Sus scrofa: one gene and its partners. The protein of the gene in region 1 interacts with the protein of each later gene in a pairwise test. Links are inferred from orthologs where the notes say so. Each region holds a gene or a part of one and is shown in the gene's direction. Other genes may lie near its edges.

Region 1 (3,500 bases):
TTGCGACAGCAGCTGCTGGGAGCTGAGGAGCAGATGCATGACATGCAGAGCAAGGTAGGGAGAGGCAGGCGCCCTTCACTGGCTGCTTCTCACCTTCTCCTGGCCTGTGGCAGCAACACCTCCTTTGACACGAGGCTGACGAAGGAGGCACGTGCTGTGGCAGGAGATGGTACTCCACGGGCTGGCTTGCTCGCCTGCTGGAAATATCCCAGTAAAAAGAACGCCATGCTCTGCCCAAGCCCGTTCCTGGAGTGCACGTGCCCATCGTAGTAAGTCAGCCTTCCTGATCCGTTTCCCACACAGTGTAAGAAATTGTGTTGTGAGTTGCAAGAGCTGCAGCATCATCACCGGACCAGCGAGGAGGAGCAAAGGCGGCTGCAGAGGGAGCTCAAGTGCGCACAGAACGAGGTGCTTCGGTTTCAGACTTCCCATGACGTCACCCAGGTAAACACTGACAGGGGAAGGGCATCGGGGAGGGCAGAGGGCCCACATGGAGTCGCCCCCTCAGGGGAGGCCCGACCCAGAGGAAGGCTGCATTCTGCTGACCCTTGCCCTGCAACCAGGGGTACATTCCACCAGAGAGCAGTTGGCAAAGTCACATAGCATGGCATTCTAGAAACGGTGGTCATTATCCAGCGTCTGTCCCAGAGAAGACACTAAACCATGGGCCCGTGGGAGCTCCTCAAGATGTCTGCCTCTGGAAACGAGCCACTCTGGTCTGGAGAGGGGTCTGCTGATTCATGAGCGTAACCGTTCTGTCCACACCCTCCCCACCGCAGAACGAGGAGCTGCGGACCAGACTCTGTGCCCTACAGCAAAAGTATGATGCTAGCCAGGATGAGCAGAATGAGCTCTTGAAGGTGCAGCTACAACTTCAGGCTGAGCTCCGGCAGCTCAAAATCACGAAATCCCAAGTCGTAGAAAGCCAGAGTGAGAAGGTAACACCCACCAGAGGTGAGGGGCCGCTTAGGTGCCAAGAGGCTCGGGGGGAAGGGGATAAGAGCAGAGCACTGAGATCGCGCCAGCGACCCCCTGTGCGGTGCCACAGGTGAGGAAGTCCAGGAGTCCTCCGCCAGCTGAGAGGACCCCCCCAAGTGCAGGGCAGGGGGAAGCGGGTTCTCAGACTGTCCGAGTCTGAGAGCGACTCAAGCAGAAGAGCGGCTGCGGATCCCAGAGGTACTGCCCCGGGCCCCTCCACCGCAGGAGTTACTGTGCCGGCTCCAGAAGCTGCAGCTGCAGTACCAGAACATCACGTGTGAAAAGGACAAGCTGCTGGACGTGCAGCAGCAGCTGCGGGACAACCTGCAGTGCCACGAGGCGGAGGTGCAGCACCTCAAGGGCGTCGTGGCCTCCTTCCAAGACAGCAGAGAGAAGGTAAAGGAAGCTGCAGGTGACAGAGAAGGTAGCGGCAGGCTCTCCCGTGAGTGGACCCAGGAGGAGAGGGATGGTAGGAGTTCTGTGGAGGAGCTCTTGGCGGCAAGGAGAGAAGAAGGTGCTTAGTGGAAAAGTGATCTCCGAGGGTCATGATGGGCCCAGCTTCCTTTAATTTTGAATCAGAAAATCAGCCTGTAGGGGTTCCTGTTGTGGCATAGTGGAAACCAACCCAACTAGTATCCATGAGGATGTGGGTTCAATCCCTGGCCTCGCTCAATGGATTAAGGATCTGGCGTTGCCGTGAGCCGTGGTGTGGATCACGGACGCGGCTCAGAGACCGTGTGGCTGTGGCTGTGGTGTAGGCGGGCAGCTGCAGCTCTGATTAGATCCCTAGTCTGGGAACTTCCGTATGCCACAACTACAGCCCTAAAAAGCAAAAAGCAAAAGAAAAGGAACCTGTCAAAAGGAAGCCCCTTTCCTTCGCCACCAAAAGAGGGCGTCCCAGGGTAGAGCCTGTTAGGGACTGGCCCATCGCAGGTCGTTCCCGTTGGGATGAAACCAGGACTGGAGAGGACAGGGTAGGCTCCCCTGAGTCCCTGCCTGACAGGAGGGGGTGCAGCCACAGGGGCTGCTGGGGTGACGGCAGGGTCTGCCTCCCCCGCCCCAGTACACGGAGATGCGCGCCCAGCTGCAGGAGGTGAAGCGGCTCCACCAGACCAGCCGGGATGCGCTGGAGCAGCAGAAGCACATGTACGATCAGCTTGAGCAGGACTTCCTGCTCTGCCAGGAGGAGCTGCAACAGCTCAAGACCACCCAGGCCATCCAAGAGGACAAGGGGCAATGTGCGAATAAGGTAATTGTTATTAAGAGAGGTGAGAGCTCCCGAGCCCTGGAAAGAGGAGGTATGGGGACAAAAGATGAAGTCATCCAACCGAGGGGCTTGATGGACTTCCTGTCCAGTCGCAGCTCACTGTGGAAAGGCAGGAAGCAGAGGCAGCGCCCCATGCAGTTAACTTTAAAACTTTGCCTTGGAGTTCCCGTCGTGGTGCAGCGGAAGCGAATGCGACTAGTAACCATGATCCCTCGCCTCACTTGGTGGGTTAAGGATCTGGCATTGTCATGAGCTGTGGTGTAGGTCGCAGATGCAGCTCAGATCTGGTGTGGCTGTGGCTGTGGCATGGACCGGCAGCTGTAGCTCCGATTAGACCCTTAGCCTGGGAACCTCCATATGCTGTGGGTGCACCCCTAAAAAAAAAAAGCATCAACTTTACCTTGACTTTGAGTCCAAGCCACAGTACCTCTGGATCTAGTCTGAAGATTTTATACATGATTCCATGTGTGTAGACATGTATACCTTGTTATTAGAACTGTAGTGCTACCTTGTCATTCGTGGAGAGGAACACACACATCGGCCCATGTGCATAACTCTTTTTGTCAGAGCTAGAAAGAGAAGGTGCCGTTTTCTGAGATGCTCTTGTCGAAAGGCATGGTCTGTGCCCAGAGTGCTGACTGGGTATGAGAAGGCCCTGGGCTCTTCCAGGATTTATTCTGTGCCTTCAGAGTAGTTAAATTCCAAGCGTGAATTAAGCTTTGAATTTATCTTTAAATGGAACAGAATGCTACTCTTATCTCACTTTCTTTTAGGAGAAAATCCTGGTAATGATAAGGCCTACCTTCTTCATTTTCCCCTTTTTTTTTCTATAGTGTGCCAAATGCACATCCTTAGCAGTCAGGCTTGTTGAGCACTTTCAGCTCCCGGTCACCGCTAGGAAATGGAAAGATGTTGACACATGATGGAGAAAAGGGGCAAGATTCTCAAAAGATGGTGGAGCCAGTCGCCTCCTGCCACGGCCGACAGCGGGCTGTGTCCCCAGGGAAAGGCTTTCGGAGGACACAGCGGGGGAGGTGATTTCCAGCTGCCTGTCTATACCCAGGCTCACTTTCCTCCTCCCCCCACTCCCACTTCACTGAGAGGTCTGGGGGTCCGCAGCGTGCTCATCGCCCCCTCTCCTAGCGGAAGAGACCACGAAAGGGAGAAGCTGCTGGCCTACAGAACCGGCCTCTCCTTTAGTCCTAAAACAGCAGCGAGATTAGTTGGATGTTAAAAGATTTCGGAAGATTTGGGT
Region 2 (3,500 bases), on another chromosome or scaffold:
GGGGTCAGGTTGGGCTCAATCTATCTGAACTACTTTTTTTTTTTTTTTTTTTTTTCCTCTTTTAGGGCTGCACCTGTGGTATATGGAAGTTCCTGGGCTAGAGGTTGAATCAGAGCTGCAGCTGCTGGCCTACGCCACAGCCATGGCAATGCCAGGTCCTTAACCCACTGAGCGAGGCCAGGAATTGAACATGCATCCTCATGAATTCTAGTTGGGTTTGTATCCCACTGAGACACAATGGGAACTCCCTGAACCCTTTCTTTCTGATTCTAGGGAACCGGTAACAGCCAGGTGCCCCAGAGCAAATACGCTGAGCTGCTGGCCATCATCGAAGAGCTGGGGAAAGAGATCAGACCCACCTATGCAGGCAGCAAGAGCGCAATGGAGAGACTAAAACGAGGTAGGTCATGGGCCTGGACTCCACTGTCAGGTGACACTTTGCTTCTGGCCTAGTAACTGTCTTGAAAGATTTTCTCTCTTGAAAATGGAGGATGATGGACAGGAGAGTACCCCGCAGCACAGGACACAGGGGTTCCTGCCCTGTTACAGAATTACCCTTGGATGTGGAGGCATCAGGCAGCATGACTGGGTCTGTGGAGTGTAGACTGTCCTGAGGATCTGACAGGAAGGGTCTTGGTGGCCAGTTGTCAGATGGGGTGTCTAAGAAGGGAAGCCCTCGCCCTGCATGCTTCCCTGGGGTAAGGGTGGGTCCATCTGTCTTAGAAGGGAGTCTAGACCCAGATGGTACAGCTCTGCCCCAGGCCTGCTCTGCTCCCTTTGGCCATAGCTGGCCCCAGGGAACCCCAAGCCACCCAGTACAACAGGCTTCTCCTCTGGGCAAGGCCAGTGACTGGGGGCTGCAGGGTCCTCTGCTGTCCTCTTTTGGAGCAGTGCCCCAGGAGGCTGTGGTCTGTGCTAGTCTGGGGAGGGAAAGCAAGTAGGCTTTGAAGTTATTTCTTTTCTTTTTCTTTTTGTTGTTTTTTTTGCCATTTCTAGGGCCGCTCCCTCGGCATATGGAGATTCCCAAGCTAGGGGTCTAATCAGAGCTGTAGCCGCCAGCCTACGCCAGAGCCGCAGCAACGCAGGATCCGAGCCGCGTCTGCGACCTACACCACAGCTCATGGCAACGCCAGATCCTTAACCCACTGAGTGAGGCCAGGGATCGAACCTGAAACCCCATGGTTCCTAGTCGGATTCATTAACCACTGAGCAGCGACAGGAACTCCTGAAGTTATTTCTTGATTAGAGAGGGAGGGCACTGGAGGATGGTACCACAGGAAGAAGGTATTGCACGTGAAGATGTGACTGGCCAGCTGACTTCAGCAGGCAGTGAAATAGGTTGGTTGGGAGTGGAGGGGAGAAAAGGATTTCTATTTTAGAAGGTGGTGGTTCAGAATGTGGTGGCTTATGTGTGAATTTAATTTCAGGAGGGATTCGGGTTTTTTTGTTTGTTTTTCTGAAGGTCAGAGAAGTAACTTTGGAGAAATAGGAAAGGGAAACATTTCTTAGTTATAAATCTGGGGTGTACGGGGTGCTGCAGTTGCAGCCGTGACTTCAGTGATGGGCAAGGCTGATTGAGGTCAGGCCCCTACCCAAAGCAGTGGCCTTTACCCAGTTCATGACTCCTTTGTGAAGAGACTAACCTGTTTTGGAACTGGGTTGGGTAATAAGAGCACAGGTGTGGGGAGGGGGACTGGTAGTTAGAGGCTGGAACGAAGAGTGCGTGGAGGAGGGAGGGAGCTTACCTCCAATCCAACCCTGGGGGTCAGGTGGGCATCATGCCACCCAGTCCTGGTAACTGGGGTGTTGGTTACCAGATTGGAGATGCCTGGGAAGATGCTGGACCCCAGAGACTGTCTGACAGGTGATCTGCAGCCACCCAACAAAGCCAGCAGTTCAAGTCCATGCCTGGATACACCTAGTGATTGCGCCAGGGCAGCTAGGGCACATCCTGGGGAAGCAGCTGGTCCCACAGTCACCCTGACCAGAAGCTGAGCAGGCTTGCCAAGTTTATGTCATAGCAAGTAAAAAGGGTCATAGGGCAAGAGGGAGTCAGGCACCAAGAGGAGCCAAGACTGTTTTTTGTGGTTTTTAATGGTGAAGAAAAGAAAGATGTTGTGACATGTAAAAATGATGTGATATTCAGACTTTAGTGTCTCTAAGTATTGTTGGAACGTAGCCACACCCATTGCTTACATAATGTCTGCTGCTGTTGTCACGGTAGAGTGGAGTAGCTGTGACAGTGGCTATACAGCCCCCCCTTTAAATTAAAATATAGTTGATTTACAGTGTTGTGCCAATTTCTGCTATACAGCAAAGTGACCCAGTCATACATATATATGCATTCCTTTTCTTATATTATTTTCCTTCATGGTCTATCCCAAGAGGCTGGATATAGTTCCCTGTGCTGTACAGCAGGACCTCCTTGCTTATCCATTCTAAATGGAATAGTTTGCATCTACTAACCCCCAATTCCCCCTCCATCCCACTCCCTCCCTCTGCCTTCCCCCTTAGCAACCACAAGTCTGTCCTCTGTCTGGGAGTCTGTTTGTATAGCCCTTTACAGAAGGTCTCAAAGCTCAGAAGCTCTGGGGGATAAGATTTGTAAGGTGGGGACACCTGAGTGATTTGAGGAGTCACTCACTTCCATTGCCCTCTGGGGGTCAGCTCTTAGAAGGAATAGGTTCTCTGATCTTGGATTTCCCAGCCTACAGAACTGTGAGAAATAAATGTTTGTTGTTTAAGCCACCCAGACTATGGTACTCTGTTGTAGCTGCTCAAAATGACTAAAATAAAGGGATTTTTTTTTTTTTTAGTCTGGAAAAAAAAAAAAGGAATAGATTCTCTTGTGCCTATTAAAATGAGATCAATGTTTCATGAAGTTGAGTAAAGCCTGCCCTCCCCCTCCCAAAGAAACCCAAGCAAACAATAGATAACTCCCAAACCATAGAGATAAAAGATGATGGGCGAATAATAGTGGAATAGATGCTGCAGGTCCCCTGGGGAAGGACGAAGCAGTGGACCAAGTGAGTAGTTCTCTTGTACCTGAACCAGGCAGGCTGTGACACTGCCAGGTCCTTTCTAGACTTTAGAAAAAATAATGATTTGAGGGCATGGAATCTCCAGAGGGTTTGGCTTAAAGAACTGGGGTGGAGACACACTTACTCTTGTCATCTGGATGGTAACATAGTTTGAATAGGGAGTAATGAAAAGAGCTTCCTGGTTGTCACCTTGAGCACAGAATGAGATTTTTAAAAGAGGAGTTTTGGCTTTGAGGGGTGGGGTGGGATTTGTTAGAGCCTTTTATTTATTTATTATTTAAAGTCTTTTGTTTGTTTGTTTTGGCCATGTCCATGGCATGCGGAAATTTCCTGGGCCAGCAGTCAAATCTGCACCAAACCACAGCAGCAACCCGAGCCGCAGCAGTGACAACACCAGATTTTTTTTTTTTTTTTGTCTTTTTAGGGCCACACCTGAGGCATATGGTGGCTCCCAGGTGA
Region 3 (3,647 bases), on another chromosome or scaffold:
AGCAAGGGCAGGGACCGAACCCGCAACCTCATGGTTCCTAGTCGGATTCGTTAACCACTGCGCCACGACGGGAACTCCTATCCTAATTTCTTAAGTAAAAAGATCAAGGCTCAATATTATCCACTAAGGCAGATGGGTGATAAAGAATAGAAATCTTATCCTAGGGCTCAAGAGACTTCCAATGGCTCAAATGGATTGTGTTTATTAACATACCTTCTCAGAACCAATACACTTCAGAAGCATAGACCTATCACCAGAAAAATGTGGTCACACATCACCTACATGCCCTAAGTGCAGTAAGTCATGATAGAACTTTCATCATTTGATGTTTCAAAATGTAGACACTACCATTCTCCAGTGTTGTTTTTCTTCATTTTTCTTTCTTTTTTTCTTGACTGCACTGGTGGCATGTGGAAGTTCCCAGGCCAGGGATCAAACCTGTGCCATAGCAGTGATCCAGCCACTGCAGTGACAGCACCAGATCCTTAACCTGCTGACCCACCTGGGAACACCTTTCCCGTGTTTTTTAATGAACAGAGTAATATTATCGGTCTTTTTCCAAAAGTATGGAATAAAAATTAGTTTTTTATTATAAAAATTAGAATGGAAGAACTAACGGTTGGACAGCAAGACCCTGGATTTAATTTCAACATCTGGTTTTCAACATTATAGGAAGGCAATAGTGGTTCTGTGCCATTTTTATTTCTTCAGATTTTTCCTCTCCTAGGATACTCTCATATTTGTTATTATTTGAAGCTCTGGTCATGGCTCTGAATCATTTTTGCTCTTTTTCCTCCCCTAACTCTGCTTCAAAACTTCTGTAACTCATTTGCTGTGAAGTCTAGAATCTCTTCTGCAAGGGAGCTTCCTGGGTGGGCCGGACTGCCATGGACCGGAAGGATTGCTAGGGAGTCTTTACATTGCTAAGAAGTCTTGCTAATTCGCTATATAAGCTGAGTGGACTGTCAGAGAATTTTCCTTTTCCCTGATGAATTTAAGAGGTTTGTATTTTGACCTGACTCAGTGATTCTGTTTGGGTCGATTACTTTGTTACTGTTTTTTTCTCCATATATGAACGTTGCACCTAATTTTCCCTGTAATCGGTTAAAAAAGCTCAGCTGTTGATGTTTCAACTCTTTCTGCCAATAACTGCTGGCAGTGATTTAATGCAGCTGGAGAATAAACTGACAATCATTATAGCCTGCAAAGTGTGGAATATTTTCATTGCACTGTTGTGGTGGACTGATAATGCTCGGCGGATGAGAATTGGGGGGGAAGCCTGTGTTACGATAAGAGAAGCAGCAGTGTAAAAGTGGGTGAGTTCTGGGGCAGCTTAGGGCCGCTTATCCAGTCAACGCTTCTCCGGGGCTTGTTTTCATAGGAGTTCACTTTAAGTGCTAAAGGGAAATGCTTTCATCTGAGCGGGATTTTTGTGCTTCGTTCAGATTGTTTCCCCATCTGATAACAACCCTCGCTGAGTAACAGCACAGATGTGGCTCATCTGCGGAAGATGGAGGCAGAGGAGAAAAGCGCTGGGCCGGGGCGCGGAGCGGCAGGTGGTCAGTGATGCTTGCACGCCCGCCCGCTGGGTCTTCTCTTCCCTCCTATCCCACCCAAGCCGCGGCGGGCTGCCCTCCGCAGGGCGATGCCCTCACCTTTCCCTCGGCGCCGGTGCCTGCCTGGCGACTTCTCCCCGTCGGTGGACTCGCGGCCCTGCAGCAGCCCCTGCGAGCTCCCGGGGCCGACAGGGAAGCTCTTCCTGGGGGGCACCCCACCCCGGGCCCTGCGCCTTCCTCGCCGGCTGGCCTGGTGCTCAATAGACTGGGAACAGGTGTGCCTGCTGCAGCGGCTGGGAGCCGGGGGCTTCGGCTCGGTATACAAGGCCACCTACCACGGCGTGCCTGTGGCCATCAAACAGGTGAGCAGATGCACCAAGAACCGGCTGGCATCCCAGCGCAGTTTCTGGGCCGAGCTCAACATCGCTCGGCTCCGCCACGCCAATATCGTGCGCGTGGTGGCCGCCAGCACGCGCACACCCGCGGCCTTTGACAGCCTGGGCAGCATCATCATGGAGTTCGGCGGCAACGTCACCTTACACCAGGTCATCTACGGCGCTACGGGCTGTCCAGAGGAGGATGGGCCTCCCTGCAGTGCTGGGGAGCAACTGAACTTGGAGAAGTGTCTCAAGTATTCCCTGGATGTGGTCAGTGGCCTGCTTTTCCTGCACTCCCAAGGCATTGTGCACTTGGACCTGAAGCCAGCGAACATTCTGATCAGTGAGCAGGACGTCTGCAAAATCAGCGACTTTGGTTGCTCCGAGAGGCTGGAAGATCTGCGCTTCCGGCCTCGGCACCACCTGGGCGGCACGTACACCCACCGAGCCCCCGAGCTCCTCAAAGGCGAGCCCGTCACCCCAAAAGCGGACATCTACTCCTTTGCCATCACCCTCTGGCAGATGACCACTAGGCAGGTGCCTTACTCAGGGGAGCGTCAGCACGTGCTCTACGCGGTGGTGGCCTACAATCTCCGTCCGTCCCTCTCGGCGGCGGTCTTCACCGAGTCCGTCCCTGGGAAGAAACTGGAGGACATCATCCAGTGCGGCTGGACGGCCCCTGCGCAGCAGCGGCCCAGCGCACAACTCCTCCTGCTGGACCTTCGCGCTCTACAAGCTGAACTGGGCTGACCCGAAACGTGTGGCCGGATAAGCATTTGTCTTTGTTGCTGTTCATTTTTAACAAGAGAAGATGTAGGCAAAAAAAAAAAAACAAAAACAAAAACAAAAAACATAGAGGTAGGATGGATTTTTAGAAAATAAAGTTACCAAAAACTCCTTTCACCCCAAATGCTTTTCCTAAGACAAACAGCAGAACTAGAAATCTAGTGGTGTCTCTCCTTCTCCCTTTACAGAGCTCTGTGTTTGCTTCAGAGCTACTGTGCTTCCTTGCAGTTCCATAGTACTGCACTTAACTCAAATTTGTTATTGGTCTGTTAACAGTTTACTTGCTCCCGTACAAATAAGCTAAAAAACAAAGATTAATTTTTCCCTCCTGCTCTTCCCCCAAAACTACTTGTTTCTAATGATCTTCACACATACAGTTCGCAAGTTGAGGTAAGCTTGTTTTTAAAAGGAATGATACTTTAAATGATTTCTTGTGATTGTGATATTTTAAAAACTTCTGCGTGCCATGAGTAGAAATTTTGCTAAAACTTCTAAACTGGGGCCCTTTTCCTGTTGTTTGGACTCAAAAGTAGACGACAAAACAAAGATGATGTGATGGGAGAAAATACGATAGCCCTGCAGCAGAGCAGAATTTAACATTTAGCTGGAGGAGAACAGAGAAGTGGAAGCAGATCGCCCAGTCTAGACATGGAGGGCATGGCTACGCATAGATTTTTGACAAATGAGGTGACTGGATCTTGTCATGAGGACAAAACTGACTTCTATTTAGCAACAGAGTTTCAGCAAGGGCTTGATGTAGAAGCTGTGCTTGGACTGTTAAGAAGGGAGAAGCAGAAAACTTTGAAGGGGGTTAAGATGCGCAGAAACGTTTTGAGATTTGTTGGTTTGGTTTAGCTTACTTTTAGGATAAAGGAAGTGAGTTTATCTGTGACAGAATAAAGAGGGGACAAAGAGAACTGATGAAGTT
Region 4 (4,171 bases), on another chromosome or scaffold:
TGAGAAACTGAATGGACCAGCTCATCAGTGAGGGAGAAGAAAGAAGGTGGGAGGAGAAACCAGAAAGGCAGATCTGGAGTTCAGTTCAGGACATGCCCCTGGTACATCCAAATGGGGGTGTCGAGTAGGCAGAGAAAGTCGAGGGAGATCTGGGCTGAAGATACAAATTTGAGAAACCTCAGAAACCTGGGAGCGGCCTTAAAAAGCAAACAAACAAACAAACCAACCCATTCTTAGTACATTTGCTGTAGGAAAGCTAGCAGAGGGTTGGATTTGGCCATTTTGCCTATCTGGCCCTTTCCTTCACCTGGTGCTTTTTTTCTTCTTTGAGGGGGCTTTCTCAAAACACTTATCATTATTTAATAGACTAGATAATTTATTTTTTAACGCTATTAACCAGGTGTTACCTATGCCCCTCTTTTCCCTCCCAACCTCCAAGAAGGTAAGCTACAAAAGGAGGGAATCCTTGGGAGTCCCCATCATGGCTCAGCGGTTAACGAATCTGACCAGGAACCATGAGGTTGCAGGGTCGATCCGTGGCCTGGCTCAGTGGTTTAAGGACCCAGTGTTGCCTTGAGCTGTGGTGTAGGTCGCAGACGCGGCTCGGATCCCAAATTGCTGTGGCTCTGGTGTAGGCCGGCGGCTACAGCTCTGAATCGACCCCTAGCCTGGGAACCTCCATATGCCGTAGAAGCGGCCCTGGAAATGGCAAAATGACAAAAAAAAAAAAAAAAAAAAAAAAAAAGGAATTCTTTATTTACTGAGGTATTCCAGGCTCCTAGAACAGTGCCTGGTACGTGGCAGGTGATTTACTACACATTTGTTGAATGTATGCATGAATGATGTATTACTCCTGTAATTAGCAACCTACTATACAAAACAACAAACCTACAAACCTTCCGTGAGTTCCCAACCCCAAGGAGTTAGGGCCACAAACTTGGCGAGGGTTTTAAGTCCCTCAAGTCCCACCCACTTCTCCAGCCCCTCAAACCCTCAAGACCCGCCCCAACCCCCAGCCGGGCACGCGCAGTTCACTCCCCGAGACGCATCCTGCGGCCACTAGGAGACGCCCAAACCCGGCCGCCGGCGAAGCAAACACCAGTCCCACGTGACCGGCGTCGCACCCGGTGAGCGTCACGTGACGGACTCAGTTTTCCTCCAATCGTTGTGCACGTTGTGGGGATTCCACCGAAGACCTGGTTTGAGACTTACAGTACCCTATTCCCCCGCCAGCCAAACGGGCCGGCTCCATGAGCAAGCTGGGTTGCGGGGTCTCTCCAGGGTCCTCTCCTGAAGCCGGTTTGGAGAGACCTGGGCCTACAAAGTGCTCGGTCCCGGAAGTGACGTCTCCCAGAGGGGCCGGAAGTGGCAGTGGAGGGAGGGAAGATGGCGGAGGTGGTGAGTCCGGTGCCCGGGGCGGGGCGGAGGGAGCCAGGGGAGGTGGGTAGAGCCCGAGGCCCCCCAGTAGCCGACCCTGGCGCCGCGCTGTCTCCCCAGGGGGAGATAATCGAGGGCTGCCGCCTGCCCGTGCTGCGGCGGAACCAGGACAACGAAGATGAGTGGCGTGAGTGACGTCGGGGGGCGGGGCTAAGGAACCTGAGGGCGAGGGGCGGGGGGAGTCAAGCGAACCCCAGGGAGGGGGAGGGGCCTCTAGAATCTTGGGGCGGGCGGGGCGCAGATATTCACGAGGGGCGTGGCTTTTAGCCGCTGGAGATGGACAGGGCGGGGCTTGGAGAAGGGAATGACACTTGGTGACTAATGGGGGCTTGGGCGAGAGCTTCCAAGTGCTGAGGCTCAGGGATCGGGCCTGGAGGTGGAGTTCAGGTTGTAGAAGGGCGGAGCCTCATGGCCTGGCCGCTCTAAGGCCGTTCCCTGTGCTGTGCCCACAGCCCTGGCCGAGATCCTGAGCGTGAAGGACATCAGTGGCCGGAAGCTTTTTTACGTCCATTATATTGACTGTGAGTTCTGGGCCGGGATGAGGTGGGGCTAGGGTTGCGGGGGGCAGCCTCTGGCACTCCTTCCTGAGCCATCCCCACTGCTGCAGTCAACAAACGCCTGGATGAATGGGTGACTCATGAGCGGCTGGACCTAAAGAAGATCCAGTTCCCCAAGAAAGAGGCCAAGACCCCCACCAAGAACGGACTTCCTGGGTCCCGCCCCGGCTCTCCAGAGAGAGAGGTGGTGAGTAGGTCCCCTGCTTCAACTTTTCTCTCCTGCCTCCTACTTCTCTCATCTCTTGGCCTCAGTGGCTCCCAGCTGGGCAGGAGGCTGTGCCCTCCCACCCTGGCTTCAGCTCGCAAAGGATGGGGGCCAAATTGCAGATGTAGCTTCCAGAGTCCAGCGTCCTTGAGAGGGGCGGGGTTTGATCATTACACACTGAGGGGCCCCTACTCCCCTTCCCCATCCCACCACCATCCCCACCCCAGAGGAAGACCCTGGACCTATCTCTACAGCCGGCCTCCGCCCAGGCCAGCGGGAAGACCTTGCCAATCCCGGTCCAGATCACACTCCGCTTCAACCTGCCCAAGGAGCGGGAGGCCATTCCCGGTGGCGAGCCCGACCAGCCGCTCTCCTCCAGCTCCTGCCTGCAGCCCAACCACCGCTCAACGGTACCCTCAGCAATTCCAGGGACCTTGCTTTCCTCTCAGGTCCCACCTTCCCTACCTTCTGACCCACCTTTCTTGGTTTCTCTTCTGCAGAAACGGAAGGTGGAGGTGGTTTCACCAGCAACTCCGGTGCCCAGCGAGACAGCCCCGGCCTCAGTTTTTCCCCAGGTGAGTCCCCCAAACCATCTCTTTTTCCCTCCCCTTCTACCTTCTGGTAGCCCCTTTCAGGTGCATCTCACAGCTACTCCTTTTTCTTTCATCTCACCTTCAGAATGGATCAGCCCGTAGGGCAGTGGCAGCTCAGCCAGGGCGGAAGCGAAAATCAAATTGCTTGGGCACTGACGAGGTGGGTCTGGGGAAGAGGGAAGCGGGGTGAAAAGTAGGGGACAGGGGGTTCCCTAGGTGGGTAGCAATTGGAAATCAGTGTGCGCTCACTGCTGTGCCCCTGGGTTCAATTCCTGGTTTGAAAACTGAGATTCCCACATCAAGCCACTGCATGTTGTAGCTAGGAAAAAAAAAAAAAAAAAGGAGTGGACGTAGGCAGGGCAGAGAGTTCAGTGACTCGTTGGAAGATGAACAGAGTGTGCTGGGTTGAGGTGGTGTTGGGATTAGGAGTGAGGCAGAACTGGTTCAGATCAAGCATTGGGTCATCTTTTCCAGTTTCCAATGAAAATTGTCCAAGTCTTGGTTTCTTTAACTGGAAAGTAGGGGTTATGGTATCTTCCCCACTAGGAAACCCGTGGGAGGGCTGTGAGCCAGAGAGTGTCCTGCTTGAGTTGTCTCCTGTAACCTGGCGTCTTTCCGTGGCCCCGGGCAGGACTCCCAGGACAGCTCAGACGGAATACCCTCGGCTCCTCGCATGACTGGGAGCCTGGTGTCTGACCGCAGCCACGACGACATCGTCACCCGGATGAAGAACATTGAGTGCATCGAGCTGGGCCGGCACCGCCTCAAGCCGTGGTACTTCTCCCCGTACCCGCAGGAGCTCACCACCCTGCCCGTCCTCTACCTCTGCGAGTTCTGCCTCAAGTACGGCCGAAGCCTCAAGTGTCTGCAGCGTCACTTGGTAGGAAGGGTCCCAGGAGGCCGCCTTCCTAGCACCCCTGCCCTGCCCTGGCCCTGCCCCTGATTCTCCTCTCCTTCTCAGACCAAGTGTGACCTGCGACATCCTCCAGGCAACGAGATTTACCGAAAGGGCACCATCTCCTTCTTTGAGATCGATGGTCGTAAGAACAAGGTCAGTGGCTCAGGGGCCGTGGGGAGTCTTTGGTGCAGGGAGTCAAGTGAGTGGCCTTTTCCAGCTCAGGAAAGCACTGACCATTTTGGCTAACAGATCTATTCACCCCATTTATTCACTTAGGGCAGGTGTGGGAGATACAGAGTGACCAGCAATTAGACAGGATCTCTGCTGAGGGCTCACAGGAGAAGGCAGACATGCTAGGGGCTTCTTAGATCCTAGCGTGATACATGTCGTGAGACAAAGTGTGAGTTATCAGGATCCAGAGGAGGGGACCTTTGAGCCTGGGTAAGGGGGGTACAGGAATCCGAAACCATGGGTTCTGAAG
Region 5 (4,159 bases), on another chromosome or scaffold:
CAGCTGAGACCCTGGTCTGAAACTAAGGAATGATGTTGACCTTTGCTGACCCTCATTGACTTCAGTCAACTAAAGCTTGGATTCTGGCAACCTTTGCCTCAATTCTATTGTGAATTCTCTTTGGCTCAAGGCCCTTCATGAATATGCATGCACCCTTAGCTTTAAACTTCCCCAATTTTGCTGTTCCAGGATACACTGCTTGGGGAAAGACACCGCCGTGCACACGCGCGCGCGCGCACACACACACACACACACACACACCCTGCCCCGGTGTTCTTCTTACTTGCTACAAGTAATAAATTTTACCTTCTTCCAATCTTTGGCTTGGTTGTGTCTTTTGGCTTGAAGCCCACCAAGAGGTGAACCCAGTTTTCAGGTAACACTAAGGAACAATTAAAGAGTTGAAATCCAGAAGGGATTTGTCCTGGACAAGAAGCGGGACACTTCTTTCACTGCTCTTGGAGCAGAGGGAACACTGGATTTGGATATATTTGTAGGAAGAACTTTAAGTGTTTTCCTCCTGATTGCTTCTAGTTTCTCTGGGAAAGAGAAGACAAGAAGGGACTTCAGAGTGATGATGGGCAGAAATACCAGCCTTGCATAAGAACAAGAGAAGCAGCTAAGGGCACGAAAGGATTGATGGTCCAGGTGAAATTGAAAACCTGGACTTGCCCCGGCACCAATCTACATGGCTATGCGGTTTTCTTCACCACCGCAGTGTAAGTAGAGAAAGGTTATACACAAAGAAAAGGAGCGGCAAAAATTCAAATTTCCTTTCGGCTTTTTCTGAAAAGACAAAAGAGAATCCTTCCATTGACTCAGTGCCTCCGTTCACCCAGTCAAGGGGTCATCACTAATCACTGGTCTCCTGTTACTGAGTGGAGAGTCTTAAAGAGTAGAGAAAAAAGAGAAGAGGCAAAAAAACAGGTCCGCTCCTGGTCGGGTGGGAAGGAGAGGAACATTTAGCCTTCCCTAAATACTAAAAGCTGCTATATATGCCCTGGGACTCAACTTCTGACCCTTCCCCCCAAGACGCTTCCTCTTTCCCAGTACCTTACACCTCTCCCGTCGTGCCACATTCTTGCCGCATTGGGACCCTTCTCGTTGTGCTCCACCCCGCCTCCAAACTCACCTTTCCTTCACGTGGCTCTCTGTATATATCGGTCGCCTGGGAGACCCTGGCCGGGCGGAGTCTAATGACGCCACAATAGCAAAAAGCCAATAGCCGTGATGCGTCTCAGTGACGCGAAACGCGGGGTGTGACTTTGACGGCCCCGGCGCAATGAGGCAGCTGCCCGCTGGGTGGCGCCGATTTCCCGGGGAGGTCCTCTCTGGGCCCCCGGCGGAGGTGGGGGAGAGGCGGGCTGGAGCGGAGACCAGGGAGCCCTCTGCGTCAGCTGCTGCTCACTGCGCCGCTCCAGTACCAGTCAGGACTCACCCGCAGCTCCATGCTTGTGCCCGGCTCGACTCGTCCATCCTCGGAGAAGAGGCAGGTACCTGCCACCTGTCGGATACTGGGGAGGGGTGATGCGGAGGGCAGTGTTGTTTGAGGCTCAGAAAGTGAGGTGCCAACGACAGGCTGGGCAGAATGGGCACTAGAAATGTAGGGCGAGTTCCAGCTGCGCTGAAGATCTCCAGCTGTGGGTACCAGTTGTAGGGGGGAGGGGGGGCACCAGCTGACAGCCCAGGGTGCCAGGAAGAGCCATCTGTGCGCTAATCAGTGTGTTCTACGGAAACGCTGCTTGGGCAGGTCCAGGTCTCTGAGCCCTGGGTGGGATGTGGCTGAGAGTGACGCCTGGACACTGACAATCCTTTCCCCACGTGTGCGAGCAGCTCATTTACTCCCTCTGTCAAAGCTCCTGGGGGCTGTCTCTGGTCGGTTTGCCAAAGGGGGTGGGGTGGGGGGAGGGTAGCATTTAAGTGGAAGGGGAGATTTTCCACCAATCCCAAACCAGAAAGAGGCATCTTTGAAATCTTCACCAATCCCAAACCAGAAGCAGGCACGCGGTGCTCTAAGGCTAGTAACTTATATTTAACAGCCAAAGGGAGCCCTGGCCAATCCATTCTAGTTGTCCTCTAAGGAGTGAGCATCTACCTCCTGACCTGGCTGCTCTTCGAATGGGGCCGAGTTGGAGATCCTGCTGCTGCTCGCCTCCCCAGGCACAGGCATGAGAAGGTCCCCCAATGAGAACCCAAGGAAAAGGAGAGCTGGTTGAGCTGGGGTTGGATCAGCCACCCCTTCTCTGATGCTGTAGATAATGTCAAGCCGGGGTCGGAATGAGGACTGGAATGAGGGCCGGGGACAAGGGCGTCCTCTGAAGTGCATCATCAGGACCGGAGCTGAGTCAGTAGCCTCTGCTGAGACAGGGTGGAGGCCCCATCTTGGGTACTCCCAGTCCTCAGGGAGAGCCATCGAGAAACAGGCCAGACAGACTGGGAGCAGACCAGAGCACCAAGAGCCGAGAGGTTAAGAATCCTGCTCCTTCCTCCTGTGACCCTGCCCAGCCAGCCCCACTCCTTGGGCTCCGGGATCCTGAGCACTCCTACAGGTAGAGTGGAACTGCCCCAGAGCAGCTGGGCTTGCTCCCGGGAGCCCCGGGGAAGCTGCACTTGCTGTATTTTTCTAGGCAAAGGAGGAAGGAGCCCAAGAGGGCCCGGCCTTTTGCCGGTGGGTGGACTGGACATCTGGGAATGGGGCAAGCCTCGTTTGCCTTGCCACTTATGGGACACAGACCTGCTCAGAAAACCATGGCATTAGAACAGCACTCCCGCGGGGTAGCCTGGAGGCCCTTTTCTCCCTAGCCAGGTTCCCCCGAGGGTGCTACTACAAAAACTACCTCTAATTATAAGTGGAAGTATTCAATATAGTAATAATTACCATTTATTGAGCTCTTACTAGGTGCCAGGAAATTTACAAATATTATTTAATCCTCACACCTGTGAGGTATAACATTATTATTATTATTATTCCCATTTTACAGACTAAATAAGGTTCAGAGGGCTTAAGGGACTTGCCCACCGACTTAGAGCCAATAAAAGGGAAAGAAAGAATACAAGCCCAGGCTTAGAAGTCCATTATAAATGAGAATGGCCTGGGAACCTGAGGAGGTCTCACCTGCCTTTGTATCCGTGTGCCCTTGAGCACGCTGCTGTCTGCCTCTAGGGCTCTTCCATCTCAAGAGTAAAGCAGGCAGACAAGCACTGAGGCTTCTTCCTCTCCTCCAGTTTTGTGACTGGCACCTCCTTCTCCATATTTTTGCCTCCATTCCACCCCCATCCCTCTACCATCTTTCCAGTTCTATTTCCCCTTGAATCCCCCTTCTGTCCCATTTCAAAATCCCTCCCTTCAAACAGTCTTGTAGGATCTTGCCTGGCACGGGCCCACCTCAAGGGAGGGCCTGCCACTGCCCCTTTAATTCTGCCCAGGCTTGGAATGCCAGTGAGTGGAGCTAGCCATCTCCGTGAGGTCAGATAAGATACTATATATATCGGAGTCAGTAACCTGAGCTCCGGATTACCCGGCCCCAAGTCAGACTCCTGCCTCTGGGCTCGCCACTGCACTCCCTGCCCTGCTGGGGAAGGAGAAGCCCCCAGATCCCATCCCGTGTCCCTGGACACAGGTCAGTAGCTGTCCCTTTGCTATCCAAACTTCACAGGGCTGTTGTCCAGAGGGCCCTGGACTGTCTGTTTGGGGGAGCCCTGTCTGTTTGGGGGAGCATGTGAGAGGCTGCCCCACCTGGCCTGGTAGGTGCTATGAGCAAGACCAAAGGCTCAGAGACCAGGAAGAGGAGAGGAAGCCCTAGAGGAGAGAGGGAGCCTGGGGCTCTCCTGTGGGGTGGGGGCACCCAGAGGGAGGTGGTTGGAAAAGAAGACCTGAGGACTCCAGTATTGCCTGGGGGCCTATATCTTTGCCTTTTCTTGGAAGTGTAGCAATGCCCACCCCCTCCCAACCCCAAATCAAGAAGCGCCCTCTAGAGACGCCACCCTCAGCCCACCCAGCTCTTCTCCAGGCAGGATTCTGGCTCTAATCTCTGGTCTCTTTATCTAACCTCTTTGCCCCCTCCGATCCCTTGGGCAACTACTGGGATTGAGAGAGACTGAGAGGGGCCCCAATCCCCTTGGATGACCCCCTTCCAAGGCATCTGCAACTGGTGGGTCA
Region 6 (3,130 bases), on another chromosome or scaffold:
CTTAGCCAGTGTATCCTATGTGGGATGATGAAATGGCTGCCCCAGTGTTCCCTGGATGCCTTGTAGGCCCACTTGTTAGACCAGTGAGGGCCCTGGCTCCTTGGTAATTAAGAGTTAACCTTGTTCCACGCTCCCAGTTACGGTTACTGGTGACCTGATTTCCAGATCATCTTGTTTTTTCCAGATTATGATGATGGCTTTTCAATGAAGCATACAGCCACTGCCCGTTTCCAGAGAAACCACCGCCTCATCAGTGAAATCCTCAGTGAGAGTGTGGTGCCAGACGTCCGGTCTGTTGTCACAACAGCTAGAATGCAGGTCCTCAAACGACAGGTCCAGTCCTTAATGGTTCATCAGGTAAAGTCACAGACCATTTGGTACAATAAAATGTGCCTAGGCCACAGGTGCCAGGCGACCTGATTCTGTACCATGCGTCCGTGTGCCTCTTAAATTTATGTTCAGTCTGACCTGTTCCTGATTCGGGGAAGAGGCTTGAGGGAGTAGCTAAGTTTCCCAGAGATTTAATAAGTTTGTCATTAAAACGGTGACAGAGCCTTTTGGCAGAGAAAGTATTTGCATTAAGAATTTTGAGACATCCTAATAACTTCTACGGCTGTCATAAATATTTTTTTCCATAGAAATCCCTGAGGCCAGAAACCATATGCCTCAACATGTACCTCTCAGTCGTTCCTCTCCACTGCATTTCACACTTTTTAAACCTTAGCTGGACACATGTGATAAATAATTTAAATGAAAAATTCAAAACATCTATCCCACTATGAGAAAGTATGGACTCTTAAAAAAAGAAGATTTTCTGTGTTTGATATTTGCTCTCGAGAAGATACTCGGTAGTAACAAAGCCTGGTCATATGTTTTACAGCGAAAGCTGGAAGCTGAACTTCTTCAAATAGAGGAGCGACATCAGGAAAAGAAGAGGAAATTCCTGGAAAGCACAGATTCATTTAATAATGAACTTAAAAGGGTATCAGTTTTAATATGTTAATTATGCTTTTATCACTGTGTTTTTTCCGAAAAGAGTGTTTTTAAGGAACGTTGTTCACTTTGAAACAGTGTTAACTTTGCTATAACTGGTAAGATGTTTGCACGGTAAAATAATTCCCATTTTCTGGCAAAACTACAATATGTTTGAAATATCATGTAGTGTACACGTATGTACTGGGCCTTGGACTCTAGAACCCTCTGATGTTTTAATGTACACTCAGGCAGTCATAAATTATTTTCATTTTTTTTGCAATTTTTTCATTAAAGGTCTTCATTAGCTGTAGTTCACAATTTGTACTTTTTTTTTTGTCTTTTCTAGGGCTGTACCCACAACATATGGAGGTTCCCAGGCTAGGGGTCTAATCGGAGCTGTTGCTGCCTGGCCTACACCACAGCCACAGCAACGCAGGATCCGAGCCGCGTCTATGACCTACATCACAGCTCACGGCAGCACTGGATCCTTAACCCGCTGAGCGAGGCCAGGGATTGAACCTGCAACCTCATGTTCCTAGTCGGATTCATTAACCACTGAGCCACGACGGGAACTCCGTACTTTGTTTTAAGACATTAAAAGTAATGTTTGGCAGCCTGAAATATAAAATGGGAGGTTTGTATATAAAACAGTACTTTTTGGGGGTTGGTTTTTTTGTTGGTCTTTTTAGGGCCGCACCCACAGCATATGGAAGTTCCCAGGCTAGGGGTCGAATCGGAGCTGCAGCTGCTGGCCTACACCACAGCCACAGCAACTCGGGATCCAAGCCACATCTGCCACCTACACTGAAGCGCCTGGCAATGCCGGATCCTTAACCCACTGACCAAGGCCAGGGAACAAACCTGTGTCCTCATGGATGTTGGATTTGTTTCCACTGAGCCACAGCAGGAACTCCCTCTCCTGTGATCCTTGATGTCACATGGCTGCGAGGGCAACTTTTTCTGCAGACCTGAGAGCTTCAGAGAAGACCTCCAGCTTCTTTTTTTCTGCCTTATACGTGTGTACAGTTCTTAGCCAAGGAAACTCACTTTTGAGACAGTGTCTCTGGTTCAGAGATTATGAGGAAAGAACATCACTAAGAGAGCTTCTTGGGTTTTGTTTTCTATTAGTTGTGTGGTTTGAAAGTAGAAGTGGATATGGAAAAAATTGCAGCTGAAATTGCACAGGCCGAGGAACAGGCTCGCAAAAGGCAGGAGGAAAGGGAGAAAGAGGCAGCCGAGCAAGCCGAGCGCAGCCAGAGCAGTATCGTTCCTGAGGAAGAGCAAGCAGCTAATAAGACGGAAGAAAAGAAGGAAGACGAAAGCATGCCAGTGGAGACAGGTAACCTGCCAGGTCACACCACCATGAAGGTCAACCCAGGGTCTCTCCCGCTGTCTTTAATTCCGCTTTCCCTTTCTCGGTGCTGCTCGGACATCGCTCTGTTAATCTTGCCTCTTGAGTTCTTCTCCATCTGACCCTCCCACTTCTTTGCACATCTTAACCTCTCACAGTAGATTCACTTAAACCGATGGTTTTGGTTCAAAACAGCAGTGATGTGTTGTCTTTAGTGTTGCTGTTTGAGGTCTTTGCCTGGATTGATTCGTGTCATTCCCTGGCTTGAGAATATGAAGCGTGATGCTATAAACGGTTAAGGATACAGACAGATCTAGGTCTACTGCTGCTGCACCACTGCTAGCACTGTGACTTTGGGGAAATTATTTAGTCTTAGTTTCCTCATTTCTGAGCATTCTAGCTCCTGTATCTGAGAGAATTCTAAAGGATAAATAAGAAAATGTACATAAAAGCATATAACTGGATTTGATGTGGTGTAAACACTCAAGATTTTAACCTTTTTGCGGAAGTTATTCAAACAAGATGTGGTCATTGCTCTTAAGTCATCTTTGGTGTCTTAGAACAGGCTTGGGCAAATAAAACCTGCAGCCAAATCCTGCCTGCCACCTGTTTTTGTAAATTAAGTTTTGTTGGAATCATTTGTTTACATATTGTCTGTGGCTGCTCTGGGGCTACAGCAGTAGAGTTGGGTAGTTTCGGCAGAGACTGCCTGGCCCACAAAACCCAAAATATATTGACTAGCCTTCGCAGTAAGCAGTAAGTGTTTGTTGACTCCCTCCTGGAGGAATTCAGACTTCCAGATCT
Region 7 (4,145 bases), on another chromosome or scaffold:
CTTCCCTGTTTCCAAATAAAGATTAATATAATAGATCTTCTGAAGGGTATTAGAATAGCCTTTTGGCAGTGGACTTGAGGGAAACAAACAGAGTCTCACATTCTGCTCCTTTATGAAACAAATGGAATGCACAGAGAATTTCCTTGTAGAATTCCCTACACTGGCGCGACATGACTGGTGAATTAAAGTTAAGGTTTCTAATTTCAGCACGCTTGGGGCATTTCTTCTTGGCATTTTGCTGTTAAGCAGGATATGTGATGCCATTAAGTTAGCCTGTATTAAAAGTCATTTCATGAAAAGATCAACAGCTCTTATAGAACACAACTTTTTTTTTTCAGAATAGAATAATGTTTCCCTAAGTAATATTTCACAGAAGAATGTTAGTTTTATAGAGTATTGGATGTCTGTTAAAAAAAAAAAAAGTATATGGATAGGTAGGTAGGTAGGTAAATAAATAGGTTAGATTATATTGGATGAATAGGATTTCATGTTTGGGACATGCTGGGTTAAGCAGACGTAAATAGTTTTCTCGGTTGTGGGTCTTCTCAGAGCTTTTGTGTTATTGTGCCATGTAGATTTTGTGTTACTGTTCCCTAAGTGACAGGGCTAGAGATTACTATACAGATTTCCTCAAACACATCTGCTTAAGAAACTCCCTTTTCCACTCCAGAGTATTCTGTGCAACTTTAGCCTCCTGGAACATAATTTGAGAAATTATCTATAAATGATGACTGTGTAGAATTTTTTTCTTTTCAGAATTTGTAGGCAAGGCCAATGCAAATTTAGAACATTTAAAATTAGATATGATATCAAGAGAAAACAGCATCATACCTGTCTACCTAGAATGATGAATTTTTTGATTAAAGTTATAATTTATATCCTTAGTTTCATTATTCACCATAGGATATTTTTTAATGTCCTACACTGATATGTTATGGCTTTAGAAATACTAAATTATCCTTGGATTTAAATAACCAAATTGATAAATTATGAGTTGTATAGTCTTAGAATTATCTCGATTGACATTAAAGGATTTGTTTTGAGAAATACACAGTCAAGGACACATACCACATTATGAATATTGTTATAGTTTATTTTTACAAACTTTTCCAAGCGTGTGTTACACATAGAGAAATATATAAATAACTAGGGAATTTGTAAAAATTGACACAATGGGCAGAACTGGTAATTATTGTTTTTTGAAACGATGTTTATAGAATTCTTAAATGATGTATCAAACTGTTAACTGCAGCTTCTCATGTTTAATGATGTTTACAATTAAAATAATACAATAGCAATATAAGATTAACAGTCATAATTAACTTGGAAGAGATTCTTTGAAGTGGTTCAAAGGGCTTTTTGTAATAAATTACTAGCTTTTAATCAGCTAATGTATTTTTTTTTTAGAATGGAGAAGTACGTATATGTCTCATAAAAATTTAATTTAGGTTAATGAAATGAGTTTGAATGATCCAGACTCTCTGTACCAAATCTGAGCTATGTCTGACATTCCAGTGGAAGCTTTATTTAGCTGGAGTTGAGGAATCTTTGAGATAATAGGCTTTGCACTGTGCTATCTTGAGTGTTACAGCTGAGTGGTTTTCCCAGAATCTTTAAGTCTTTTTCTAACTATTTTATGAATGAATGGAATTAATGAAATATTAATGAATGATCTCCTTTGAATTGTTTAGCGAGTTCAAAGAATATTGACTTTAAAAGTTTGCAAAATTGAATTTTGCCTCTTAAAATGCGATTTCCGTTTGTGAGGCTGGCCCTGGCCACCCTCAGTGATCCTGTTGCCTTCACTCACACGCAGTTGTGATAAGGAGGGTGAAGTAGGAGCTAAATAGGGAGGAGGTCTGGGCAAGGTCATTTCTGCCAGAACACAGAGAAGTCAAGGTCTCAAGAGTGCAGTGGTATATAAAAAGGTCTACGCTGGTGAATTAAAAAATAGATACATGAAGAGGAAAAATGAGGGTCCCTGTATTTGAGGATGTGAAAGATGAAACAGAAGAAGAAAAAACAGGGGAAGAAGAAAATGAAGAAGACAAGGTAAGTGAGAAAGCACTTGCTGAAGAATGATATTTGTTCCCCAAAGCTGATGATGAGAAAAATGTTTCCTTTCCTTTTTTTCTGGACAGGTATTCTTTAAGCCTGTTATTGAAGACCTGAGCATGGAATTGGCCAGAAAATGCACCAAACTCATTAGTGATGTAAGCGGCTTAAGTAATTTTTGTCTGATTTTGCATTGCATGTGTGGCACTATTATGTCATAGTATCAGAGAGCTGAGGAGAAAACCCTGAAATCGTTTACCAAAACCCAGCAATTTTCCAGATCATGGCACCAAGCCCAGACATTTTAGGCGATTTTTCCCAAGGTCACCCGGATAAGGAATTTCTCTGGGGATAGGTCTCTGTATTCTTAAGCCAGAATCGTGTAACTTTGGAATTTCACTGTTACCCTGGCATGAAATCATAAAGCATCGTATTTCAGAGCATATTCCATTGAGAACCCAAAGCCTTTTACAGTTTGTATAATGATATAATTTGTTTTGAGAGGCTCTCTATCTAAATGAATGATTTTTAGCATTTTGGGGAATGTTTGCAGAATTTGATGAGTGTGTAGTTTTTTCCAAACCAGAAAATGCATATGCCTGTGTACATATGCATTTATTTACAATTTAGGATTCAGGAGTTCCTGTTGTGGCGCAGTGGAAATGAATCCGACTAGGAACCATGAGGTTGCGGGTTCGATCCCTGGCCTTGCTCAGTGGGTTAAGGGTCCAGCGTAGCTGTGAGCTGTGGTGTAGGTCACAGACTCAGCTCAGATCTGGTGTTGCTGTGGCTCTGGCGTAGGCCGGTGACTACAGCTCCGATGAGACCCCTAGCCTGGGAACCTCCATATGCCATGGGTGTGGCCCTAAAAAGACAAAAGACAACAAACAAACAATTTAGGATTCATAGATTAAGAACCCTGAATGAGATGTTGATGGTGATGATATTAGTGAAAGGAGCATTTTTGGTGTGGGGATGTTTCTCGTTAACTGGGAGTTATGTTGTATTTCAAGGGAATCCTGGAATTATGTAATTAACTCATATATATCTCCATATTTATCTGTCCATCTGTCGGTCCATAGTCAGTATGTAAACAAAATTCTGGGAGCTCATGGAGATGTGTTCTTCACTAGGAATGAGAATTTAGATGACCCTCATTGGGACAATTGTAAGAGCATCACTGAGTCAGAGGAAAAATGGCCTGTGAAGCCTGAGCAGGGCCCTTCTGTATTTATTTATTTTTTATTTATTTATTTATTTTGGTCTTTTTCTAGGGCCGCACCCACAGCATATGGAGGTTCCCAGGCTAGGGGTCTAATTTGGAACTGTAGCCACGGGCCTATGCCACAGCCACAGCAACGCAGGATCCGAGCTGCATCTGCGAACTACACCACAGCTCACGGCAACGCCGATCCTTATCCCACTCAGCGAGGCCAGGGATGGAACCTGAAACCTTGTGGTTCCTAGTTGGGTTCTTTAACCACTGAGCCACAGCAGGAACTCCGGCCCTTCTGTATTTAGAGAGGAGGGCAGAATGCAGGTGATTTCTGCTGTTCCTACTGAGCAAAGTGATCAGAATGTTTTACACACATTTACTTGCAAGAGAAGTCAATCCTGGGCTCTGCCCGTGTGGTCATGTGCCCGCCTGGTCTCTGAAGTCAGCTCTCTTGAGTCAATTTAACAGCAACCTTGGGCAGGTTGGCTGGGCTCAGTTCCTCAAGGGCAGCATTTATAATAGTAAGATTAAGAAATCGTAACATATCTGAAGTGTTTAGTAAATTGTCTGGAACATTGTGAGTGCTCAAGAAATGCCAGCTGGTACTAACTCTTGCCTCTACAAATTAATTTTTATCCGTCCAGTCGCCTTTTATACATGATGCCGTGTTGCCTTCTGGTTTGTCAGAAAGAGCCAGAGGATGGTGGACATCGGACCCCTTCCCATGTGCTTGACATGTCATGTAATTAAATTTTAAATTGAGTATTTCTTTGTGCCATTACTTAACACTAGGCACAGCTACTGGATGTAGAGGTTCTTTGTAAACTGTAATAAAAATGAAATGATGATGACAGCAGTAAGGATAATAATATCA

Evidence for each region.
Region 2: the proteins of CCDC136 (region 1) and CDK2AP1 interact in binary tests that used the Homo sapiens proteins (3 or more experiments, as listed by UniProt). The two-hybrid records come from large-scale screens. The link is inferred for Sus scrofa from reciprocal best matches to the Homo sapiens genes CCDC136 and CDK2AP1.
Region 3: the proteins of CCDC136 (region 1) and MOS interact in binary tests that used the Homo sapiens proteins (3 or more experiments, as listed by UniProt). The two-hybrid records come from large-scale screens. The link is inferred for Sus scrofa from reciprocal best matches to the Homo sapiens genes CCDC136 and MOS.
Region 4: the proteins of CCDC136 (region 1) and KAT5 interact in binary tests that used the Homo sapiens proteins (3 or more experiments, as listed by UniProt). The two-hybrid records come from large-scale screens. The link is inferred for Sus scrofa from reciprocal best matches to the Homo sapiens genes CCDC136 and KAT5.
Region 5: the proteins of CCDC136 (region 1) and USP2 interact in binary tests that used the Homo sapiens proteins (3 or more experiments, as listed by UniProt). The two-hybrid records come from large-scale screens. The link is inferred for Sus scrofa from reciprocal best matches to the Homo sapiens genes CCDC136 and USP2.
Region 6: the proteins of CCDC136 (region 1) and SMARCE1 interact in binary tests that used the Homo sapiens proteins (3 or more experiments, as listed by UniProt). The two-hybrid records come from large-scale screens. The link is inferred for Sus scrofa from reciprocal best matches to the Homo sapiens genes CCDC136 and SMARCE1.
Region 7: the proteins of CCDC136 (region 1) and NEBL interact in a two-hybrid assay, tested with the Homo sapiens proteins (2 studies listed by BioGRID and IntAct). The two-hybrid records come from large-scale screens. The link is inferred for Sus scrofa from reciprocal best matches to the Homo sapiens genes CCDC136 and NEBL.

Annotation. Positions count from the first base shown.
Region 1 is NC_010460.4:19,806,738-19,810,237, reverse strand, and holds part of CCDC136 (coiled-coil domain-containing protein 136), read left to right. Parts: coding exon 1-54; intron 55-303; coding exon 304-444; intron 445-779; coding exon 780-938; intron 939-1,203; coding exon 1,204-1,374; intron 1,375-2,041; coding exon 2,042-2,227; intron 2,228-3,500. UniProt on the Homo sapiens protein: May play a role in acrosome formation in spermatogenesis and in fertilization.
Region 2 is NC_010456.5:29,637,584-29,641,083, forward strand, and holds part of CDK2AP1 (cyclin-dependent kinase 2-associated protein 1), read left to right. Parts: intron 1-273; coding exon 274-400; intron 401-3,500. UniProt on the Homo sapiens protein: Inhibitor of cyclin-dependent kinase CDK2. Also acts as a component of the histone deacetylase NuRD complex which participates in the remodeling of chromatin.
Region 3 is NC_010446.5:75,737,930-75,741,576, forward strand, and holds MOS (proto-oncogene serine/threonine-protein kinase mos), read left to right. Parts: upstream 1-1,472; 5' UTR 1,473-1,645; coding exon 1,646-2,683; 3' UTR 2,684-3,147; downstream 3,148-3,647.
Region 4 is NC_010444.4:6,569,420-6,573,590, reverse strand, and holds the start of KAT5 (histone acetyltransferase KAT5), read left to right. Parts: upstream 1-1,371; 5' UTR 1,372-1,386; coding exon 1,387-1,564; intron 1,565-1,889; coding exon 1,890-1,958; intron 1,959-2,044; coding exon 2,045-2,181; intron 2,182-2,453; coding exon 2,454-2,609; intron 2,610-2,699; coding exon 2,700-2,774; intron 2,775-2,877; coding exon 2,878-2,952; intron 2,953-3,423; coding exon 3,424-3,672; intron 3,673-3,753; coding exon 3,754-3,843; intron 3,844-4,171. UniProt on the Homo sapiens protein: Catalytic subunit of the NuA4 histone acetyltransferase complex, a multiprotein complex involved in transcriptional activation of select genes principally by acetylation of nucleosomal histones H2A and H4.
Region 5 is NC_010451.4:46,587,555-46,591,713, reverse strand, and holds the start of USP2 (ubiquitin carboxyl-terminal hydrolase 2), read left to right. Parts: upstream 1-1,359; 5' UTR 1,360-1,489; exon of another isoform or gene 1,490-1,493; intron 1,494-3,500; exon of another isoform or gene 3,501-3,620; intron 3,621-4,159. UniProt on the Homo sapiens protein: Hydrolase that deubiquitinates polyubiquitinated target proteins such as MDM2, MDM4 and CCND1. Isoform 1 and isoform 4 possess both ubiquitin-specific peptidase and isopeptidase activities.
Region 6 is NC_010454.4:21,801,410-21,804,539, forward strand, and holds part of SMARCE1 (SWI/SNF-related matrix-associated actin-dependent regulator of chromatin subfamily E member 1), read left to right. Parts: intron 1-184; coding exon 185-357; intron 358-880; coding exon 881-982; intron 983-2,103; coding exon 2,104-2,314; intron 2,315-3,130. UniProt on the Homo sapiens protein: Involved in transcriptional activation and repression of select genes by chromatin remodeling (alteration of DNA-nucleosome topology).
Region 7 is NC_010452.4:53,838,826-53,842,970, forward strand, and holds the start of NEBL (nebulette), read left to right. Parts: upstream 1-1,345; 5' UTR 1,346-1,971; coding exon 1,972-2,052; intron 2,053-2,141; coding exon 2,142-2,213; intron 2,214-4,145. UniProt on the Homo sapiens protein: Binds to actin and plays an important role in the assembly of the Z-disk. May functionally link sarcomeric actin to the desmin intermediate filaments in the heart muscle sarcomeres.